2 linked regions of the Caenorhabditis elegans genome follow. The protein of the gene in region 2 interacts with the protein of the main gene of each other region in a pairwise test. Each region holds a gene or a part of one and is shown on either strand. Other genes may lie near its edges.

Region 1 (8,086 bases), on a different chromosome or scaffold from region 2:
TAATTTATTTATTTATTTATTATCGTTCTTTATATATATTTTTTATAATTTTTCCAGGCAGACAACACATGGACAGAACTCGAAGATATCATTCATCTTTACAACTTGAAACATCGCCCTCAGATGCAACACGATTTTAATGATTCCAGTGTGGTCTCATCGATTCGAAACGACAGTCACGGTTTCAACGATAGTGAAGAGTGGACTGATGCTTCTACGAAATTCGCCGAAATGGATGCAACATCATCTGCTAAGCAAGCGTTTTCTGGTTTTAGGTTAGTTATTAAATTATTGCCAATTTTACGTCTAATCTATTTTTTAGCTCGCCATTCGAACCAAATATGCAGCGATTTTCCGACTTTGAAGGTCAATTTGACGACACGCCGGACGAGGATGAGTTCAGAAAGTTGTGCTCAGAGCGAGCCAACTCCTCGTCGTGCGCTGGAATAAGTTTCGAGACGAGCCCAATCAAATGGCCTGGAGAGGCAGAAAAGACATCAGAGAAGGCGTCGGAACCACCGAGTGTCGTTGCCAGTACGTATCCACAACAGACAAACGGGAATCAGGCTTTTCTAGAACAGGAAGAAGGAGACGGGGAGTGGGTGTGGCCAACTGTGCCACCACTCGGGGAAACCGAAGTTGTCACTCAGACTGGACATCGTCCGGAAAATAACTGGGTTGACGAGACGGCACCTGACTTTTCACATTTAGGTAATAAAGCTGGACATGATAGGTGGGATTGCAGCCACCATCAAGTCTGTAGATTGTTGCACGTCGGTTTCCCTTTCCGATTTCCTGGAGTAAGCCATCCCACCTATGTTGAACCAATTTTATTACTCAATTTAAAATCAATGTTTTCAGACATGGCACCCCCAAAGGAAGACGATATGTGGGCCGATTTCTCCTCGTTCCCAACCATCAGTCCGACTGCAGCTGCAAACTCGGCGTCGTCCAGTAGCTCCGATGCGTGGCCTGGATCAGACATTCATCTTCAAGGGGAAGCGTCGGATTGGCCGTTGAACAACTCGCACGAATCGAAAGCATCCGACCCGGTAATGGTTGGACTTGCTGCGAGTATATCCCATCCTGGAGACAGCAGCGAGGCTTGAAGCCCTTGCAACTCGTGTCATCCCCAATTCGTTTCACATCCCAATTATTTTCTACATTTTTCTGTTTATAGTCTTGTATGCAATTCACTTCGAACTTCCCCCTCATTTTCAACCAGAATTCCAAAATTTTTCTGTGTGTGTGTGTTTCTTGCAAATTTCACTTATTAATTTATCAATCTCGATTTTGCGGTTCTTTCCCATTCTCCATTCGTTGTTCATGTTTCCCCATATTCCCACCGACTTTAAAACCGTTGCATCCGATGCACTTAGAATTTTGTTTCCGAATTTTCCGTGGCTTCTCATCTTTGCTGGTTTCTTCTAAAGAACATTATCTTATCATTTAAAAAAAGTGAGCGCCCCCAGTGATAAGAAGCACGGCTTATTTGTTACTTCTTCTAATACATAATATATGATTCTCGGGCAACTTTTAATTTGGTCCAATCTTTTCCCCCTCTACTCTTTTTCTTGTTTAGGTGGTTATTGAAATTCAATTATTCTGATTTCACCTTCATTGATTGTTTATCTCGTGTTAGTGAGTATCAGATTTTCCATTCCATCCTATTTCACAATTCGTTGCATTCAATAATAACTTCCCACTATTTCTTGTATTTCTTCCTCTTTCATGAGTTTATAAATTCTTTTTAAAAAATTATAGCTTGATTGAAAATTTGGATGTTTTATGATCATTGTTCTAATATCTTAGTTTTGTTTCAAAGATCTTCAGAAAAAAACATAATTTATTTTCAGAAAAGATGTCTTCAAAACGAAAAGTTCTTCTGATGGGCAAAAGTGGATCCGGCAAGACTTCGATGCGTTCGATCATATTTGCCAACTACATCGCCAGGGATTGTTCGCGTCTCGGGCCAACAATCGAAGTTGAGCATGCTCATGTCAAGTAAGGGATCAATTCTGGATCAATTATCAAAAGAACACAATTTTTCCTTTTCCAGGTTCCTCGGAAACATGGTTCTTCACTTGTGGGATTGTGGTGGTCAGGAATCATTCATGGAGAACTTCCTCGTCTCGCAAAAGGATCAGATCTTCAAGAATGTTCAAGTGCTCATATACGTATTCGACGTGGAAAGCCGAGAGTTCGAGAAAGATCTCAGATATTACCAGTCTTGTCTCGAAGCTCTTCTCCAAAATTCACCGAATGCTCAAGTCTTCTGTCTCATTCACAAAATGGATCTGATCGAGGAGGACAAACGTGAAGAGACGTTCAAACGTCGTGAAGCAGATGTACTGCGATACAGTGAACTTGCAGCGACTCCACTTCAGAATGAACGGACGAACGCTGTTTGTCAATGCTTCAAGAGCAGTATTTGGGATGAGACACTCTACAAAGCGTGGTCCGCGATAGTCTATCATCTGGTGCCAAACGTCGGAACCATGGAGGACAAGCTGAAGAAGTTCGGAGCTATTTTGGATGCCGATGAAGTTATTCTATTCGAGAGAGCGACGTTCCTGGTTATTGCGCATGCTGTTCTCCGAGAGCATAAGGATCCACATCGATTCGAGAAGGTTTCAAACATCATAAAGCAATTCAAGCTTTCATGCACGTAAGTTACATCGAAACAGATTAATTCAAGCTTCATCTTCCTTTCAGAAAAATGGGGTCCAAGTTGGATTCGATTCAAGTCCGAAACAGTCAATTCTCCGCATTCATCGACTCGTTCACCCAGAACACTTATGTTATGGTAAAATCTCAAATAAAATGTATTTTAAAACACTATTTTATTTTGTTCAGATCGTGATACCCGACGGCAACGCATCGGCTCCAATGATCACAATGAACGTGAAGAACGCGAGGAAGGTGTTCGAGGCGATCGAGACGAAAAGCTAGACGAATTTGAATATTTCACCGAGTTCTTGCCCCGCATTCCAGTTATTTTCGTTTAGTTACCATCCCATATCCCATGTTGCTGTATTATAATGCTAAACTGATTTATTTAAATCCAACTGCAAAATTGTTCAACTCTATATTTTTCACTATATTTCGTAATTCACCGCTTAGATTTTCCGTTTCGCCAGTGCTTTTGCGAAGTTTTTCGTTTTTTTTGTTTAATTCTCCCCGTACCATCCAAATCCGATTCTTTGCGATAGTCATCATCGAAAAAACCTATCGTTCGTGTTCTTGTTCTGTATTTGTATATGAATTGTGCTATATTTTCATTTGGAATTTAACTGATATTTTCTCGTTTAATTAGTAATTTGTTATCAACAAGTCTGCCTATTTTAATCTATGTTTAAAAAAGTATAAAATTTCAATATAAATTCAGATGGAGGTGGCTGCTGCGGTCGGTGTGATCGCTTCAGTTCCGATCCTTTATAAGGCTATAAGGTAATGTTTTTCTTCTTAATTTGCAAAAAATTAATAATTATACATATTTTCAGACCTCGGATAAAGACATCGGTGGAGTGCTGGTTTTGCCGCAAAAGCACGAAGGTCGAATACCAGCAAAGGAATAGCTTCACCTGCCCGTCATGCGAACAATACAACGGATTCACCGAAGACGGAGACTATAACCGTCGGATTCCTGGACAAGCGTGGACTACACCCAAGAGATATTGTGAGCCGGGGAAAATGCAGTCAGAGAAGCCGAGCACATTTTTGGATCGATTTGGCGGGGTGAACATGAGTCCTAGTGAGTTTAATATCCTTTTTTTATAATTTATGAGTTAAATTAAAATTCCAGAAGCTTCTAACGGTCTCTGCTCGGAATGCAACCTCGGCCAGGAGATCATAATGAACAAGGTCGCAGAATTCGAGCCCATTGATGAGGATCGATGGAACGAAGAGCTCGAGGATTATCGATACAAACTGGAAAGAATGTACCAGCTGTGTCCGAGATGTACAATTCAAGTTCATGGAAAGCTGGAGGAGGATAAGAAGAAATACTCATATCTTCTGAAAGTGAAATATAAGCTGAAACATGCAATTGGATCTACTCTACGAGAAGTGATGAACAATCAGAAACGATCGCGGAGATTCTTCTTCGCCGGTGGAAGTACATGTGAAGCTCTTCATTTTGGATGCCTCATCTCTTCAATTATTCTCTTTTTGGCGAATATCGACTTCTTACAGCAAGATGCAGGAGCATCGCTGATCAATTTGCCAAAGGCTCTTCAAGATATTCTGCCAGAAGTTTATAAATATTCCTTCGTCATCAATTTTCTGATCTTCACTACACATTTGATTGCTGCATTTAATAATAAGTAAGTTTCATTCTACAATACAAAAAAACTGTAATTTTAATTTCAGATGCCGAGTTACTCTTCCCGACCTGCTGCTGCCCATCCTTCTGATCCTCGCAATGCTAACAGTTTTGACTTCAAGTGATGTGAGTTTCAAAATATACCCTTTGCAAGTTTTACACCTCTTTTTTTCAGAATTTATCACAAGATGTCGCTCTTGTCAGAGGTGCATGTGCTTCGTTTTCAACGATCCTTTCAATGGCAGTGACACTTCTTCCAAGGAAAAAGCTGCATAAGAAACGACCGAATAAGATTGTTTCAAGGTTAAATAAATATTTTATTTTTAAAAATTCCTTCAACTTTTTCAATTTTCAGTGCCTTCTCTGTTGCGTCAACTCCGATCTCTCAATGCTCTTCACAAAACAGTCGAAACGCTTCACTTCTCGATCATGACCACACGATTCTTCGAAGATCTCCACATACGCCATCAGCAAGCCCTCCAGCAATGAATTCCTCTCCACCATTGCTCCGTGAAATAACAAATGGTCCAGTGTGGTCTGCAATGAGAAGTCGGGAGAACAAGGAAAATATGCAAAGTTATCAGACTAAACCTAACAATCACGTGGAATCAATGGATTGGGATGATAGTGAATCGATGGCGGCTCAATCGGTTGCTCAATCAACTCGTTCCAGTCATTTCAAGCCAGGACTTTTATCCAGAAATATCAATGAAAGAATGACTGCTCAACAGCTTACACCCTCCGTGGCAAATTTGAATCTTGATACGAGATCTGTCGATTCTCCAAGTATATTCTCAAGACAACACCGGCAAATGGCTCAGCAACAGAATCACACACCGACTAGATCATTGTTCGGGCCACCACGATCTATGGTAGCTTCACAATACGACAGGAGCCACTACATGGCACCGGAAGCACAGTAAGATTTGTTGAAACTGAAATATTTATTAAAACTTAACCCTTTAATCTTGAACAATCAGTTATTTTTTGTTTAGAATGATAATTAGAGAAGCAATAGTGTGATAGCATTTGTGCAGGATAATTGTATATTAGACTTTTAAAAACTTAGAACTGATTGGACGTTGGACTTTGATAAATAATATGTGGAATTTTGGTTAGACCTTTCAAGTCACAGGTCACGTAAGCTCAGATGAAAACTAAAATTAATTTAAAAAGAATTGAAAATTCCGTTATTATTCAATTTAGATTTAAAATTTGAAGATTAGATTTTCGTTTCGAGACCGTGGTTACGGTATTTTGGAGCCAATAATATTTTGCAAGAACCAGCATTTATTGAAAAGATTGACTAAATTCTGTTTGGTTTTTCTACGTTTTTCCTTCTATTAACCTTCAAGATTCCCATCAATTTTATTTATTTACAGCACTCGACCCGGTTCAGTGTTCACATCGGTCTCGCAACAAGACGGACACTCAACGGTCAGCGGCGCGTGGCAGTGTCGCGTCATCGGCATCCTCTTCGCGCTGGTTTTTATCGTACTCATCATGCAGATCGGACTGTTCTACGTTCTTTTCACCCGCAATTGATTCGACCTTATTATATATGTTGTTTTCTATGTTTCATCTCTCTCCTCATCATGCCCTATTCACATTTTTGTTGTTTGATCCTGTGTGATATTAGTTTCAAGTTATTTGGGTTCCCAGTGCTCTTTTACTATTTGATGTGTGTCTAGCTCGTTTTGTTGAATTTATTCTTTCAAATATGCCCCTTTTCACCCTCTCTGATGATCTCACTTCGTTGTTAAATACCTTACTACTTCAATTTCTACTACATGAAACCCATCTACATATACATCTCTCTCCAGTACAAGTCTATTGACAAAATGAATAATTCCCGAGAAAAAAGAACGCGCAAAAGATGAGAAATGGATTGCAACAACATCAACAAACAAGGCAGCTTCCCCATCCCGCCTGCTGCGCACCACACAATTGCTCCACTCCTGCGCTTCTCCCGGATTGCACACTGTCTGGGAGTGGTCGAATCTCTGCGTCTCGCCAATTCACACACTCTTCGTGTCCTCTGTTTGTCCGCCTGACCTCACTTTAGTAGATGTCTCTTTTGAATACCAGTTTTCTATGCCCAAAATTGGGAAAACTTTGAAATTGGCAAATTGTAAGGTTTTTCACAAAACTTAAAAAACACTTCTATATTTACTGCTAATCAAATAAAAAAATCTTAAAAACCACCGGTGGCGTAGTGGTTAATTATTTTGCTGCCGCTCAGACGACGCCAGTTCGACTTTTACCATCTTCTGCCACAATTACGGTTACTCGTATTCATCTTCTCACAATTATCCACACCGTCATTTGTTCCTTTTCTCTTCCGTATCTCATATTTTCCTCCCTTTTCTTCTCATATTTCATTCACTTGTGATCCTCCCTTCCTCTTTTCAATGGACGAGTCTTGCAGCAAAAACCAAAACTCTTATGAATTTTTCATGCCATATCCCTTTTAAATAGCTCAATTCTCGGAAGAAACCGTGTGTATGTACTTATGCTGCTGACTTTGACTTTAAATTTGTACTTTTGAATATGGAATGTATGATGATTTCAGATCAAAACTGTATGTGCACATGCTTCGGTCCGTTGTAAATAATAATGATAAAGCTAAAGGTGAGTTTTCAAATTTTTAATTTTTGTTTTTATTAAACAACAGGAAAAATTTTAAAGGTTGTGTCAAAACTGTCAGGCATTTTGACTTTTCTAGGCCACTGACCATATTAAATGGTTGAGAAAACATATATATATAAAAGTTAGATTGAAAAAGAAAGTTTTAGTGAGTTGCCTAATTTTCCAAAACGTTTTTGTAAATTGCCAAATTTTTGCCGATATTTTGGCAAATTGCCAATATTTCTAGCAGGGATTTGGTAAACTGCCAATTTTCCAAAACAAATTGGCAAATATTTTAAAAGTGAGGACTATTTGGGTAATGTCGAGAATGTCTGCAAATTTGAACCCATTAGAATGATTATATGATAACAATTTATACATGGTAAAATACAAAACTCGTAGAAAAAAAGAAATTTTTTGTTCAACTTCCAAAATTATGATCATTTTTTGACTGTAAATAACAATATTTGAAAAATTTGTTGAAAAGTTTTGCTAAATTATTTTGGGCATCTTAGACGTCTGTCGACACCATGACTATAACTACAACTACTACAACTACAACTATAACTACAACTATAACTATAACTATAACTACTATAACTTACTTATGTTAGACACTATGGACACTATAACCGGTTTTAACAATTTTTCGACTTACGATACTCCTTCCAATTCTCAACTGCGGTCCTGACATTATCTGTTCAAAAAACGAATCATAAACTGGAACTCCACCAATTTCCAACTTTAAAGTTTATCAACAAAAAAACAGTAGCTCAGATCTATATCAAAAATTGCACGCGATGAGTTTCTGCACAACGAGCACGTTTCGTTTACAACATTTCACTCTCCTCATTTTTTATTGACAATCAGTTGAAAGTGAAGTGACAAGAGAGAAAAGAGAACACTCTTTCTGTGTGGGGCAAAAGATAGCAAAAAGCCTATAGATATCAGTGAAAGCAAAGAAAAAAGAAGAAGAAGTTTTCAGAGAGTGAACAAAGTGTCCGTGTGGCGACTGACGACCCAACCTACCAATCATACGCCTTCCAACCGTCGACATCTTCATCTAACATTAGGTATGTGAAATCTGATTGAATTTCTAATGTCTTATAATGTCTGCGTATCCCCCGCGTCCCA
Region 2 (6,053 bases):
TGAAGAACATCGAGAACAAAACTCATGGTGCATCGACTAACAAATTTTTCGGCCAAAAAAATCTGATAAAATATGATGGCAAACAGACTTCCTAGAAACACCTGAATTTCGCCCGTAAAAAATGAGTGCGCCTTTAAGAGCTACAGTAACCCACTAAATCATTAAACTGAAAGTTCCTTGATGTCGAAAGAGAAACAAAATTTGACAAAAAAAAATTTATTGTCAGAGAAAAGTAATAGAAGTGAAATTGTGTGGGGAAATAAATACGGACGGGGAGTTTGAAAAAAGAATGGGACTATACGAGGTCATAAATAATACAATTGTGGGGAACGATGAGCATAGAAAAGGGGAAATGGGGCTCCATAAAAAAAATGAAGGACCTAAAAACGGGGGAAAATCACGAGAGGCGGTCGGGGGCTCAGAAGAACTTCAATCGTGTGGCTTGTCCACAGTGACGAACGCTTCCAGCGCTGCTTGTTTCGATGTCGACTCCTTCTTCTTCTTCTTAATCAAGGACGGTGGGAGCGACGTATTTTCCGGGGTGCCTGGCATTGGCGATTGCTTCTGAAAATTTGAAATTTTAGATAAAAACATCATGAGATTTAAGCTAACCGGAGTCTGGAGCTTCTCCTTGGTGGCCTTTTCGGTGACTGGAAGCATCTGAGCTTGTTGGAGCAGTGGGACCAAGTTCGTCAAATCAGTGGGCAGCTTCGGGGCTTTGCGCTTCGACGATTCAGCCGCCATTGATCTTCCCTTAATCTGAAAACAAAAATCGTTGTGAGACCCAGCGTGTGCCTTTAAACTTACATGAGATCCCGGTGTGAGGAGAGCGTCGGTTTTCGGCGTTTCCTTGGTGGGTTCTGGCAGCACTGTCTTCTGTTGTGGCTCCAATTTCACAGAGAACACGTCCATCTTCATGTGCACCGGTGACGTCAATTCAAGCTTCAGCTCAAGACGGGCATCGCTGAAGATCTCCTTCGCCAAGGTCTCCGATGAGCAAACGAACGGCGGTCCATCATCAAGATATCCGTGCAGGAAAACCTTCTGCTCGGTCATTTTCTCCACATGATGTTGCACGAGCTCCAAAGCGTACCGCGCCTTTTCCTCTGTCGTCACCAGCGGCGCAGGGAGATCCAAATCATTGATGAGCGAAATGAGCTCCTTTCCACGTCCCCAATTGTCGGCGATCACTTGCAAGTGACAGCTCATTGCTTCTTCCTTTTGAGCGGTCTTGGTCCGACTCTCGTATGGTCCGTTGGTCGAGCCTGCTCCGAGGGCTGGTGTGATGGGCGGGGCCACCGCGGATCGTCGTTTCTCCATCACTTTTGTGACGTTTCCATTGGGAGTCTTGATCTCTTCTACCACATACTGAAATTTAAAACTGCGTTTTTTCAATGCTCTTTCAATGCTAATAATTCCGTTTTTACGTCGTGGCCGCGAAATGCGAAAACTCGGCCACCTTCAAATATCTTGGCCGAGCTCTCGCTTTTTCTAGGCCACGTTGCAAAAAAATCGATAATAAAACGTACCGGATTCGCGGCAATTCCATAAGCCAACCGCCGGCGTTCCTTCTCCTCATCCTTGTGCTGCTGATCGTCTTGTTCTTCTCGCTTTGCCAATGAAGACAAAATACGCCAAATACACATTTTTATGTGACGCGTGTGTCGGAGAGAAACCGACTTCACAAACTAATTTAAGTTATAATTTGTTTATTTCGGGGCCTATTTCGCAACCACCGCACACTTTTTTCGCAAGCCTCGCACGTTTTTTCCATGATATTGTTGCATTTTTTCAAAAGAAAAAACGTGTGCGGTGGTTGCGAATAGGTCCCCCCCTGCATCCTGTTTTGGTGGGGCCTCGTAAATTCACGTCGGCCACGTCAATTTATTTTTCGAATGAATTGTTTTCTTTGCTAAAAGAATGGTTTTCCTCATTTAAAAATCTAAATGTTCTTTTTAAAGAAAAAAAAATAATTTTTTCGACGTCCGATCGTTGTCGACACTGCCTGGAAACTCCTAAATTATGTTATTTGATCTCTACACGTTTTTTCTTTCGAAAATCCGATTTATATAAAGTTCAAATGTTCAACAAAATTGGTACAACAAGGAAAACGATGTTTAGAATGAATAACAACAAAAAGATTTTTGAACAACAAGTAAATAGTCAACAGAGGTAATTTAAAAAAGAAAAAACATAAAAATGAGCTTAATCGCTATCACTATCACTCGACTCTTGCTTCTTGGACTTTTTGGATTTCTTCTTCGGTGCCTCCTCCTCTTCCTCGTCTGGCGTCTCCTCTTTCTTGACTTCTTTCTTCGTCGAAGTTTGAACGTACTCCTTGGCCCACGATTTTGGAGTAGTGTCATTTGGTTTTCCGAATTTGTCTAGAAGTCCGTCCTTGACCATTTGCTTCTTCTTGGATGCAACCGGTCCAAGTCCCCACTTTCTTCCGTACACATCACGCTCCATAATGACACGCTTCGACTTGGCAACGACTCCGTGATCGACTGAAGCGATCGTTGATGTGTTCATCTGAGCAATAGCGATGCAGATGGCTTCTCCCTTCGTCGACATGATGACGATCTCCTTGCCAACCTCGATGTCATCGTCGTAACGAAGAATTCCGGGAATAAGGATCTTGGCTCCGTAGCAGATCGCGTTGATGCAACTGTCCTTGACAACAACTCTCTTGTGCTGGGTGAGAAGAGCCTCAAGTGGACGAACGATGTGTCTCATGTAGCTCTCGTCTTTCTGGGTGTCTAGGAGATACTGAGCATCGAGAACGTCGTGCATTGTGACCATATTCTCGTTTTCATCGCAGATTCCGGATCTGTTTCTGCGAAGCTCTTGCATTTGACCTCCGCATCCGAGGATGAGACCGAGATGCACACAAATTGTACGAACGTAGGTTCCCGACTCGCAGATGCAGCTGAAATTAAATGAAAACTAGAAATTAGATTTATTATAAGGATTCTTACTTGAAAATTCCCATCTGTTGAGCTGGATCATACTCGATGAACTTGTTCTCGTAAACGGTACGAATACGAAGCTGACGCTTGACAGCTGAGATCAGTGGTGGGCGTTGGAAGAGGGCTCCGGTGAGCTTCTCGAGGGCTTGCTTCACCTTGCGATCATCCTCAACTTCCTCGTGGAGCTTGAAGATGCAGATGTATTCCTTTCCAGCTCCTTGCTGCGACTTGGCCAAACGAGTGGTACGGTCGATACAAACGATCAGACATCCCGATACTTTTGGATCGAGTGTTCCACTGTGTCCGGTCTTCTCGCAACGAAGAATTCTCTTGATCCAGGACACGACTTCGTGAGAAGATGGGTTCGATGGTTTGTCAAGATTGAAGAATCCAGACGAAATGTAGTTCTTGATGTCACGCTTTAATGGTGATACTCCCTCGACGTGTGGTGTGTAGTGATTGGTGCGCACATTCAATTTGTCGTAATTCTGAAATAATAATTTAATTTTTAAATGAGATCACTCAACTACCTTGAGCAAAAGTGGCCACTGGGAAGCATCGAGCTTGGCGGTTTCGTTCGAGGATGGAAGTTGGAATGATCCCTTCTGTTGAGCCTCCTGAAATAATGAAAATGTACTCAATATTTAATAAATGGCTTGAAAATTAAAAACTAACAGCTAGATCGTCTCCCTCAAGCTTGGAACGCTTATCCTTCTTGCCCATGATGAGATCTTCGCTGAAAAAATAACATTATTGACAAAATCCAACAGTTCTGAAGCGATTAACAAGAGTTTAAAGATTAATAAGGTTCTAATGAACTCCAAATATGCCTCATAAGCTCGTGGAAAGTGTCAAGAAGCAGAAAACCTGCCAGAAAACTATCGATTTTTTGAAAAACGAGAGAAGAAACCCCCATTGGCAGTGTGCCAGACGAAAGAGACACAGGCTGCGTGTGTGCCCCTATGCCTCAACACACACGGGGTTCTACGCAAAAACATTTTCGAATTTTGTTCATTTTGGCGCGCAAATCTGGCTTGTTGCGCCATTTTCGAATACTTTTCTTGTCCCTGGCGCCAAGTTTTGTCATCTTTTTTCGGTTTTTTCATTCATTTTGATGCATTTGCGTTGTTTCCTCAGTTGGTTCACTGTAATTTTCGAGTTCTCTCTGATTTTGCTCCATGAGCAAGCTCTGATCACGAGATAATCTCTCTGCTCAGCTTCACGTCTCTTCTAAAACTTTTTTGCTCAATTCTAAATACACATTATCCGAACATTCTTGTTTTTGAAATATTTATCCACCGCTTCGTGATTTTCAACTGAAGCTTCGGTAATACGTAGAATTTCGCAATAATTCGCATTTTCGAAAAGTTTCGTGCTATTTTCCTCTTGACAATCTTTTTCCTTCGTATTTTATTCTCCTCATCTCCTCATTTCAGTCATGTCTGGTGGAGACGGCATCCCAACTTTCAAGCTTGTCCTTGTCGGAGATGGAGGAACCGGAAAGACTACCTTCGTTAAACGTCACTTGACTGGAGAGTTCGAGAAGAAGTATGTTGGTAAGTAATTCAGGAATTTGTTTCTCCCAGTTCAATAATTGTTTTCAGCCACTCTCGGAGTCGAAGTTCACCCACTTGTCTTCCACACCAATCGCGGACAAATTCGTTTCAACGTTTGGGACACCGCCGGACAGGAGAAATTTGGTGGTCTTCGTGACGGATACTACATCCAAGGTATGTTAAAATTCGAAATTATAACTTCTGAAATGCCCAATTTCCAGGACAATGCGCCATTATCATGTTCGATGTTACCGCTCGTGTCACCTACAAGAATGTCCCGAACTGGCATCGCGATTTGGCCAGAGTATGTGAAAACATTCCAATTGTTCTCTGCGGAAATAAGGTAATCACTAGCTGAAACTGGCCAATATATTCAATTACAAATTTCAGGTCGACGTCAAGGACCGTAAAGTGAAGGCCAAGACCATCACCTTCCACCGAAAGAAGAACCTCCAATACTACGACATCTCCGCAAAGTCGAACTATAACTTCGAAAAGCCATTCCTCTGGCTCGCCAGAAAGCTGCTCGGAGATCCAAACCTCGAGTTTGTCGCAATGCCAGCTTTGGCTCCTCCAGAGGTATTTTTAAATCCATGTTCTTTCATAAGCAATATTTTAATTTCCAGGTTCAAATGGACCCAGCCATGATTGCCGAATACGAAAAGGATCTGGACAACGCCGCCAAGGCTGATCTTCCAGATGACGACGATGATCTTTAAACACTTTAACCTTTCAAAATCCTTGTTTTCAAATCTCACAAAACCATCCCACCTAAATTTACCATTTTATACATTTCATATGCCAATTAATTTCTTAACTTAAAAATAATTTGCATACCCAACCGGTGTCTACAATTCAAAGTGCTGGCTTGGGTAGAAGAAGGATTGTACATTTGCTGTTTGATCGTTGTGCGAATGAATTGAAGAAATGGTTGGCTCATCACTCTCAATCTCCATGATTTATTTTATATTTTATGTTCGACTAAAAAATTTTAAACAACTTGTTGCAATAAATTGTAGCACCATTCGACAAGTGAATTATACCGGCAATAGGGAAAGTGAGCAAATGCAGAGGGGGATTTTTTTACACATATTTAAAGCACTTTTGATGATTCTGTGGGAGACGCGTCTTGAAAAGAATCGAGTCAGCACGGAATTGGGAGAATTTCAGAGGATTGTAGCCGTAGATTTTCGTGAACAATCGCATACATTCGTGGCGTTTCTCGAAATGTGTCCCTTCTTTATACAAGCTTTCCGTGCAAGTTGGACATCTGAAAATTGAAATTATTATTAGATTAGACTCATTTAAAATCTGGAAATTACTTGAGCGTCCATCGAGAAGTCGTTTTGATTGGCGGTTTTCGTGTGAGATGAGAAACTAAATAATTCATAGCAATGTCCTCGCAGTTTTTGATGCTATTCACATGTTCACGAATTTCAGCTGGCATTTCGTAGGTGTAAGCAGTCAAATAGTTCTGAAATTTTTAACGTTTTAGATTTTATACGGGTTTTACCCAGACGCGGGAATT

Evidence for each region. Proteins that work in one complex are often made in the same cells at the same time.
Region 1: the proteins of ran-1 (region 2) and samp-1 interact in a two-hybrid assay, tested with the Caenorhabditis elegans proteins (one large-scale study listed by BioGRID).

Annotation. Positions count from the first base shown.
Region 1 is NC_003280.10:11,299,503-11,307,588, forward strand, and holds samp-1 (Transmembrane protein 201 homolog), read left to right. Parts: upstream 1-3,388; coding exon 3,389-3,450; intron 3,451-3,503; coding exon 3,504-3,754; intron 3,755-3,805; coding exon 3,806-4,325; intron 4,326-4,371; coding exon 4,372-4,450; intron 4,451-4,499; coding exon 4,500-4,627; intron 4,628-4,679; coding exon 4,680-5,243; intron 5,244-5,706; coding exon 5,707-5,869; 3' UTR 5,870-6,184; downstream 6,185-8,086. Other genes in the region: saps-1 (Serine/threonine-protein phosphatase 6 regulatory subunit), read left to right, coding at 58-275, 323-711, 862-1,109; raga-1 (GTP-binding protein), read left to right, coding at 1,862-2,004, 2,060-2,668, 2,716-2,806, 2,857-2,952; rsf-1 (Ras association domain-containing protein 1 homolog), read left to right, coding at 6,916-6,955, 7,938-8,025. UniProt on the Caenorhabditis elegans protein: Plays a role in nuclear migration in hypodermal cells.
Region 2 is NC_003281.10:10,746,081-10,752,133, reverse strand, and holds ran-1 (GTP-binding nuclear protein ran-1), read left to right. Parts: upstream 1-4,405; 5' UTR 4,406-4,407; coding exon 4,408-4,525; intron 4,526-4,573; coding exon 4,574-4,699; intron 4,700-4,746; coding exon 4,747-4,868; intron 4,869-4,915; coding exon 4,916-5,104; intron 5,105-5,151; coding exon 5,152-5,244; 3' UTR 5,245-5,553; downstream 5,554-6,053. Other genes in the region: enu-3.6 (ENhancer of Uncoordination), read right to left, coding at 430-564, 613-759, 808-1,368, 1,530-1,646; dkc-1 (Putative H/ACA ribonucleoprotein complex subunit 4), read right to left, coding at 2,206-2,929, 2,979-3,457, 3,500-3,586, 3,645-3,692; rib-2 (Exostosin-like-3 homolog), read right to left, coding at 5,609-5,795, 5,848-5,999. UniProt on the Caenorhabditis elegans protein: Ran GTPase system comprises ran-1, ran-2 and ran-3 and is essential in nucleocytoplasmic transport. Ran-1 is a GTP-binding protein that mediates the interaction between mitotic chromosomes and kinetochore microtubules.